Callithrix jacchus: one gene and its partner. The protein of the gene in region 1 binds, or shares a complex with, the protein of each later gene. Links are inferred from orthologs where the notes say so. Each region holds a gene or a part of one and is shown on either strand. Other genes may lie near its edges.

What was found.
Region 2: the proteins of YAP1 (region 1) and SMAD1 are in contact, whole or in part, in an NMR structure (PDB 2LAW), measured with the Homo sapiens proteins. The link is inferred for Callithrix jacchus from reciprocal best matches to the Homo sapiens genes YAP1 and SMAD1. Residues at the interface, in NP_001123617.1 of Homo sapiens: Glu237, Ala239, Met240, Thr241, Tyr247, Ile249, Asn250, His251, Lys254, Thr255, Thr256, Trp258; in NP_001003688.1 of Homo sapiens: Thr222, Pro223, Pro224, Pro225, Ala226, Tyr227, Leu228, Pro229, Pro230, Glu231, Asp232, Pro233.

Annotation. Positions count from the first base shown.
Region 1 is NC_133511.1:37,540,051-37,544,174, reverse strand, and holds the start of YAP1 (transcriptional coactivator YAP1), read left to right. Parts: upstream 1-1,312; 5' UTR 1,313-1,696; coding exon 1,697-2,014; intron 2,015-4,124. UniProt on the Homo sapiens protein: Transcriptional regulator with dual roles as a coactivator and corepressor. Critical downstream regulatory target in the Hippo signaling pathway, crucial for organ size control and tumor suppression by restricting proliferation and promoting apoptosis.
Region 2 is NC_133504.1:51,521,844-51,526,166, reverse strand, and holds the start of SMAD1 (mothers against decapentaplegic homolog 1), read left to right. Parts: upstream 1-1,492; 5' UTR 1,493-1,577; intron 1,578-1,677; exon of another isoform or gene 1,678-3,016; intron 3,017-4,323. UniProt on the Homo sapiens protein: Transcriptional modulator that plays a role in various cellular processes, including embryonic development, cell differentiation, and tissue homeostasis.

The DNA of each region.
Region 1 (4,124 bases):
ATACTAAAAAAAATTCAATGCTTAAATATACAAATATGTACAAATATTACTTAACATTTTATGGTATATGAATTACATCTCAATAAAGACTTTTTTTTTCTTTTTCTTGAGGCTAGTCAAGTGAAGCAGTGGGAGTGGAGAAGGAACAAAGAAATCTGTAACTGGTTGCGATCAATTAGTTGTAAACACCACTGCACTTGGACCAGCCAATAAAGATGCTTTAAAAAAAAACCCGAGAGTGTGACTTAAAACACACATTTCCATTGTTTTTGAGTGGTTTCCAATGAGCTCCTTGCACATCGCGTGCCTGCGGTGACCTCCTTGCCCATTCATTTCTTATTCAGTCCACATTCACAGAGTCCACTGTTGGGCCAGGCACAGGGATAGCAGGGGTAGGACCCAGCTCCCAGAGGATGAAAGACAGGTAAAGAGGAATGAATGCTTGTACCTGAAGAAGCACTGATTTTTTGGGTTGAGGCTTCCAGTGACTATGCTGCAAATTCGAGTACTAAAAAAGTTGATGTGATTTCAGTATTTAGAAAAATACTGAGAAAAATACGCAGTGTTTTTGTTTCTTTTAATAAGTTACAGGGAGTCACAGACCCAGTCTCAAAGCTTCAATTTCAGTAACCATTTATCCTTTCCAAGTGAGTTTTTGCATACCAACACATAAATGAAACAGAATTACAAAATAAAGTTAATGCTGAAAAAAAAAAAGGACCTTTATTAACATTAGCGCCGCCTCACAGTATCTATTTTAACTCCAAGCTATGCTCCCGGCTTGAAGCCCGCACTGGCGCTCCGCTCGGTCGAACCGGGGTAACGCGTGGAGGTGGGTTCGCACATCCTCTCTCCACTTCTTTCGACCTTGGCCCTTTCGCAGGTCCCGGCGAGCTGGAAGCGCCTTTCCCGAGCCCGGGCGAAGAAGGGGCCGAGCGGGGCGGAAGGACTTCCTGCGGCCAAGGGCGGCCGCCTTCTCCGCAGAGACTACAGTTTGGACCCAGATTGGACTCAGCGTTTGTGGTTCGCGAGGCGGAACACAGGGCACGCTCCGGGCCCCTGCCCGGCAGAGCGCGAGCGGAGGGCGGACTGGGCCCGGGTGGGCGAGTCACGTGCGGCCGGGAGCGGCGCCGCGGGCCGGGAGTGTGCAGGAATGTAGCAACTTGCAGCGAAAAGTTTCCCTGCGCGGCAGACTGGGCCGCGGTGCGGGCGGGCGCGCAGAGGAAGGAAGAGCCGGGAGGCGGGGCCGCGGCGGCGCGGGCGGGCGCTTCTCCCAACTTTAGTTTTGGCGTCTGAGGCGAGTTTCTGTCTCAGTCGGGCGCAGCCGCCGCCAGGGAAAAGAAAGGGAGGAAGGAAGGAACAAGAAAAGGAAATAAAAGAGAAACGGGGAGGAGGGGAAAGGCAACCAGCCGTCCGGCCTCAGTCAAGGGAGTTGGAGGGAAAAAGTTCTCAGGCGCCGCAGGTCCGAGTCCCTCGCAGCCCCTCCCGAGGCGCAGCCACCAGACCAGTGGAGCCGGGGCGCAGGGGATGCGGGGCCGCAGCACAGTCCCCCGGCCCTGAGAGCTAGGAGAGCGCCGCTCCCACCGCCCAGCCCGCAGCCCTCGCCGTTTCTCCACCTCGGCCCGTGGAGCCGGGGCGTCCGGGCGGAGCCTTCGCTCGCCTGGTCCGGGGGTGCGCATCGGGGGAGGCAGAAGCCATGGATCCTGGGCAGCAGCCGCCGCCTCAAGCGGCCCCCCAGGGCCAAGGGCAGCCGCCTGCGCAGCCTCAAGGGCAGGGCCCGTCGTCCGCACCCGGGCAGCCGGCACCCGCGGCGACCCAGGCGGCGTCACAGGCACCCCCCGCCGGGCATCAGATCGTGCACGTCCGCGGGGACTCAGAGACCGACTTGGAGGCGCTCTTCAACGCCGTCATGAACCCCAAGACGGCCAACGTGCCCCAGACAGTGCCCATGAGGCTCCGGAAGCTGCCCGACTCCTTCTTCAAGCCTCCTGAGCCTAAATCCCACTCCCGACAGGTAACCTCGCCGCCCCTCTCCCAGCTTCCCCGTCGGGCGGGCCCCAGGCTGGGGGGCGCTCGGGAGTCGCGGCCGCCAGCTCTAGCCAGGGGAGGGGGGGTTGCGGGAGGTCTTGGGTGGGGGTCTCGCGGCGAAGTGGAGGAACTGGAGGCGTCCCCTTGGCTGCGGTGACCGGCTCCCTACTCTTCCCAGAGTCCGGGGCTGAGATTTGTTTTTCCCCTCTGAGTTTCTCTCTGCGGTTGCAGCCCCGGCGGGCGTGCTTTCCCTCTTCCTTCCTTTCTTTCTTCCCGGGGTTCCCGGGAGGTTGGCGGGAGTGGCGGGGGTGTGGGGAGGAAGGAAGGGGGTGGGGAGAGCCGGGCCTGGGCCGCGGTGGGCTTGCACAATGCGCGCGCCTCCGCGCGCTCCGCAACTTCGCTCCCGCCGGGGCCGGGCCGGGAAAGGGGGAGGGGGGCCTCTGGCATTTGTGTGTGGGTGAGTTGCCAGCGGCGGCCGAGTTTCTGAAGTTGAGCCCTGGGCCCCTTTCCTTTGGGGCCTCTCGGTCCACTTCAGTCTCCTGGGGAGTCAAATAATTGTTCTCTTGTTTTCCAATGTTGATTAGGGGTGGGGGTTGAACCGGTCCATTTAGTTTTTTTGCTCGCTCTTCCCCCCCCCGTTTCCCCTCCCCCTCCCGTAAGCTTTTATTTTCTTCGAGGCTCAAGCGCTTTTAGAACACAGGTTTCGGGCTTTCCCTGCCCAGACTTTCCTGGAAGTTGTTTATGGAGTTCTTTCACACCCCCCTGTGCTTCCCTTGTGTCTTGGAACTTGGGCCGGCTCGCTCTTATCAAACTTAGTAGGTTGCGTGTTGGTTTCCCAATTGTAGACTATTATTTACAGTCGGCTGAAACGCTTTTAAATTAGCCACATCTGTACGTTGCGCAGGAACTGAGTTGCACTTTACTGTACCGACGTTTTAACACAAGCCTTTGATAATACACTGCAGGTTGACCCATAGGCCAAGTCCTGCCTAGTTCAACTGTGATTAAAAGTTAATGTTTGGGAAGCGATGACTAATTCTGGAATCGCCATTGCTTTATAATTCTTATTGCGGATATGAACATGGCTGCTTTTCCACATACACAACGTTCGATCATTTTGCCAACTTGATTCAGCATAGAAGTGAAACTATTTATAATGAAAGTGTTAACATTCCGATAGGTCCCCGTGGATTTGTTTAGGGTTCTTTTTCTTTCCTTTTTTTTTAGAAAGAACTTGCTTGAGGCTAAACTTGAGCATAGGAACTTTGCCCAAAAGTTAATAGATTTTCCAAATACTGCAGTGTAGTTAGCCGACTCGGACTGTAACTTGAGTGGAAAGAGTTACCGCCCCCACTCCCATTCCCTCTCCTATTTGCAGGCCTGTTGTATATTCTCCTGTCGGGTTTTGGAACTCAGAAAAGCTCACTTAACCTGATGACAAAAACCCGGGTTAAGGAGGAGGAAGGAAAAACAATTTAGCTTCTTGCCTAAACACTTCAATTTGTCAGAAGTAGACTTAGGTGTGCTTTTTTCTCATACCCCTGAAAGTGGGTTTATGGACTCATTATGGGTAAATACATGTTGGCATGCACCTTACAGACAGTGTATTTTCAAAGTATAATAGACATAGATTGAATCCCCCATTTTGTGGCATCTATCAGCCACAAAGAATCATAACTGGAAAGTGTACTTTTTCTTCTAGTAATTTTTACGTGAATTTCTATCCAGCAGTTCTAAAATTCAGAGTATTATAGTTTTATTTTTAATAAGTTTTTAAGTGTTGTGCATCTGTAAATTCGACTTTTATTTCTGCTAACGATTTCCTAAATCACACTTTTTCTGATGGGAAACAAAGAAAGGTCCATCACTTAAAGGCATGGATATGACTCTACTAAGTCCTTCCAGTTTCCTTACCTTTGTGAATCTAGGAAATTCTTAACTTTTTGGTAATCAAACTCTAATTCTAATTTTTAAAATTTAGATATGCAAGATTAGGAGTAGAACAAATCTAGGTTGCAAATACTATTATTCACAAACTGGTGACTAAGTTTTATGTACATCCATTTTTGTCATGAAAACTGTTTTACAAACGAGAA
Region 2 (4,323 bases), on another chromosome or scaffold:
AACTTCATCTCAAAATTAAATAAATAAATAAATGCCATCTATAGGTTTAAAAAAAAATTACAGCTTTAAAATATCAGTTTATAGCTCCCCTCCCCGTTCAGGATCCAATCAAGGTCATATACTGCATTTCATTGTCATGCTTTTTTTTTTTTTAATAGCTTGAGGAAAATTCACATATCAAATGATTGACCCATTTAAAGTGTACAATTCAATGGCTTTTGGTATATCCACAGAACTGTGCAACCATCACCAGAAACTAATTTTAGAACAATTTTGTCACCCCATGACCTTTAGCTGTCACTCCCCAGGTTCCTCAATTCCTCAACCCTATGCAAACCAACAATCTACTTTCTGTCTCCATAGCCTTGCCTACTCTGAGCATTTCAGATATGTGGAAGAATACAATGTGTGGTCTTACTGTGTTATCTTCTTTCACTCCACATGTTTTGAAAGGTTATCCAGGTCACATGCATCAGTATCAGCACTTCATTCCTTTTTATGGCTGAATAATGTTCTCTTGTATGGGATATTTTGTACTGTTTATCAAGGGAGAGTTTTCAACAGGGGAGTGGCCTAATCTGAGTGGCATTTAAGAAGGTTCACTTTCCTGTTGTTCCAAGCAGCAGAGAATGACCAACTGCATCAAATGCTGCTTTTAGGGAAAATAGGATGAATTCCACGAATTGACCAGTAAGGGCGCAAATAGTTTAAGGAAAAAAGGAATTTACTATACATTGATATATGTTAATGATACACTGGATACACATGGCTGGGAGTGATGTTTTTTGCTTCATGTGAAATTTATTCCTCAAAAAATTATTCTTTTCTAAACGTCACTCAACGTTATGGTAATTATCCAAGATTTTATGCAGCTTCCAGAGAGTTGGCCAAGAGAAAAGTTGACTCTTGCAAGAAGATACTTTCAATGTCCATGCAGATCAGGTAGGTAAGAGTTAAGTTTGTTTTCGGGGTGTTGGCATCATCTAAAAGACTGTAGAAATTGGACCAAAATGTAGAGTTCTAAAGCAGTATCTCCTTGTGGCATGTTATTATTTGGAGCAACAAGGTTACCTACTCGAATCATTGTATCCTGAGTTGACACAAAACCCATCTGTTGACCCAGGGTTTGTATAAGCACGTGCAGTAGTTACTAGCTAACCACTTCTGGGTACGTTCAGCTTCTGGTGCCTGCAAATTATTGGAGAGTGAGTAAGGGACAACGAAAACTAGACATCAAAGGGCCAGTCTCGAAAGATAACTGTCAACATGCATTCCATATTTACAGAAGAGTTAATGAGCGTTTCAGAAAATAAACACATGGAGCATCGAAATTCACTTGCAGATAATGCACCAAGTCCACTCTACCGGGACTAAAGAAGGCAGGGTTAGGAAAGCCAGAACGCCGCCACGCTGTTTTTTCTCCAGGAATAAACGGAGCGTGGGGCTGGGGGTGGAAGGGGGTGACTCGGGCCGCTCCCCCTCGCCGTCCTCCAGCCCAGGCCGCGCTGCGCTCACGCCGGCCGGGCCGGGAATTTGGAGAGGATCCCTGGTCGCTCGGCAGCGGCGGCGGCGCGCGGGTGAGCGTGTGAGCGGGCGGGCGGGCAGGCGAGTGCGCCGGGCATTGGCAGCCGAGGAGTGGAGGCTGGGCGGCTCCGACTCCCTGACGCCAGCGCGACCAGATCAATCCAGGCTCCGGGAGAGAGCGGGCTGAAGGGCGGGCGGAGGAAGGAGAGGCCGAGCGGCTCAACCCGGGCCGAGGCGCGGGAGGGACCCTGGGAGCGGAGCGCGGCGCAGCACCAGGCCGGCCTGACCGGGGCCGCGGGACCCCGCTCTCCCGGCCACTCGTGCGCCCGCGCGGATGGGCGCGCCGCCAACCCGGTAAAACGAAACAGACCCGAACCCAACTTTCCCTTCATGCTGCGTCCACGCCTTCCCCTCGGCGCCCCGGGCTTTCCAGAGCTGACGCCTCTGTACGCGTGGGGCCGCCGCGGTCCTGCGGGGCCGGGGGCGCGGACGGCGGCGGGGAGGGGGCTCTTTCCGCGCGGGGCGGACCGCGACGCCCCCACCCCCCATGATGGCGCCTCCCGGCTGCTCTGAGGAGCGAACCTGCCACCGCGTCCTCTCCTCCTCGCGCCCAGCCCGCCAGGCTCCCCCGGCGTCTTTGTTGGGTCTTCTGCTGTGGGAAGCTGAGTTCCCGGCCCCCTCTAGCCTCGGCCCTCAGGCCTGACCGCGCCGGGACCTCCCCAGCCGCGCTCCCTCTCCGCGCGCTCCTCACATCTCTCCGGTGCTGCAGCCGGGCCGAGGCCAGTCCGCGCGGCCCCGGGCCCATTGTGTCCCCGCGCCGGCGGGGCGACCCCTGCGGGAGCTGGAGAACGGCCGCCGGCGCTGCCTTCCCAGGCGCCTGGAGGAACGGGTCTCGTGGGCGGGGGACCCTGGCGCCCCAGACCCCTCCACATCCCGCACGGGTTTCCTTCTCGGCCCTAGCGAGCCTCTTTGGGGTCGAGGTCAAGGAAAGTTCGCACCGAAATCCCCTCTAATTTATTCAAAGGTTTGGCCGCGGCGCGTAATTTTTTCCTCCTCTTCCGCCTACACCCGCTTCGTCTCCTGGTGTCTCATTCCTTTCCCTTGACCGCAGTCGATTGCCTCACTGCATGTGTATTCGTGAGTTCGCGTTGAACAACTGTTCCTTTACTCTGCTCCCCGTCTTTGTTAGTGTTTCTCGGGGTTGTTTCTGTAGGAAGGTGGGGGTGGTGGGCGTGAGAGACAGACGTGGGCTTGTTTTTCTAGTTGCTGAATCTGTAAGAAGGCTTTAAAGGGAGAACGTTTCCTTGATGATGTGCGTTAGGAGGGGAGGAGGAACAAATGCCTGCCAGATCTCACAACTACAGTAGCTGCGCTTTTGTTTATTTTGAAGCGCATGCAATTTTTAAATAGACGGTGCAAGACAACCAGTAAAGACGCGTTTCTGAAAATTGAGACCGATCTCAGAACCATCTCCTGGGAAAGCATCATTTTCGTGAGTGCCGAGACAACTGTCCTTTTTCTACGTCCCCCCCCCCCCCGCCCGCTCCCCAGTCTTTCTCTCCTTTCCACTGCATCTGAAGTTTCAAAGTACGTGGAATGATACAGAAGTTGCATTTCTGTTGTGTCTTCCTGTTGCTGGAACTCTCAGCTGCTAAATCTCAGAATGCCTTTATTTCAATAAGAACATCTTTGGCTCTAATTGCCTGTTGCGGGTAACTTGCCCACATTTCAGTAACACAGTGAGAAAACTGTTCCCTGCCCATGTTGATTTTTCATCTTGTTTGTAATTAAATTGTATTGAAGGTAGGTGAGCTGTATTAAAAAAGAATCGGGACAGAACCAGTGTTTACTGCCCCAGCATTTTCAATTGGTATAAATATTGTTGCATCAGTGTTATTCTGATGTAGGTGCCAGATCTAAATATGCTGTACTGATTAAAATGTTTGTTCTGCCCTCTCCCACTCTCCCATTTTCAGTTATTTGATATTTCTGTGCAGGTGGTGTATCATTGGTGGTGTAATACTGCAATTCTTAGTAAAGTTTAACTAGGGTTGTGAAAGATGATTTTTCTGGAGGTGGGTGATGCCAGAGGCTCTAGAGGATCCAGGAAGGATCGGGTTTCTTCTGAGGGTAGGGATTTGTCCTTGATTTAGTTTTGACCCCTGCAACCATAGGTATGTAACCAAATACATTTTTCCTCTTGCTGTATCCTTTGGTTTCATATCCTTGAAGAGCTGATGATCTTTGTGTTTTAGAGAAATGACAGTTTTTAGGCAATTAAAAAAACATTGACCTCTAAGACTTCTTGGAATTTAATTTTATTTCTACTAAGTTTAGTAAGGCAGTAAGATGAAGTAAGTCACATTTTCTCAACTGCATTTGTTACATTTATTAGTTAAAAACTAAATTTCACTTTGTAATTTCGATTTCTAGCAATTCTGGGTTAAAGATAAAATCTAATAACTTAGTAGATTGAAAATAAGAAGTAACTTGGGTGTAATTAGACAAACATGTTTAAGCTGCAGTAGCCTCCATAATCAAGGCCAAGTGTGTGTGTATAACAGATCTCATTTGTGTAGTCTTACAAAGCTAATGGAAGCATCACTGAGGCTTTATAAATAATGTAAGTTGTGTATAATGTAGAGTCTCCAGAGACTGCAGAGAAAGCATCATTACCAGGCTTTTCAACCTGCTTGAGATCTTAAATTGATTTACAGCACTGAACTAGTGCAAAATGATACATCAGGATGACATGGGGTCAGCCTGTAAAAGTCTATGATGTCAGCCTATTAGTTCAGT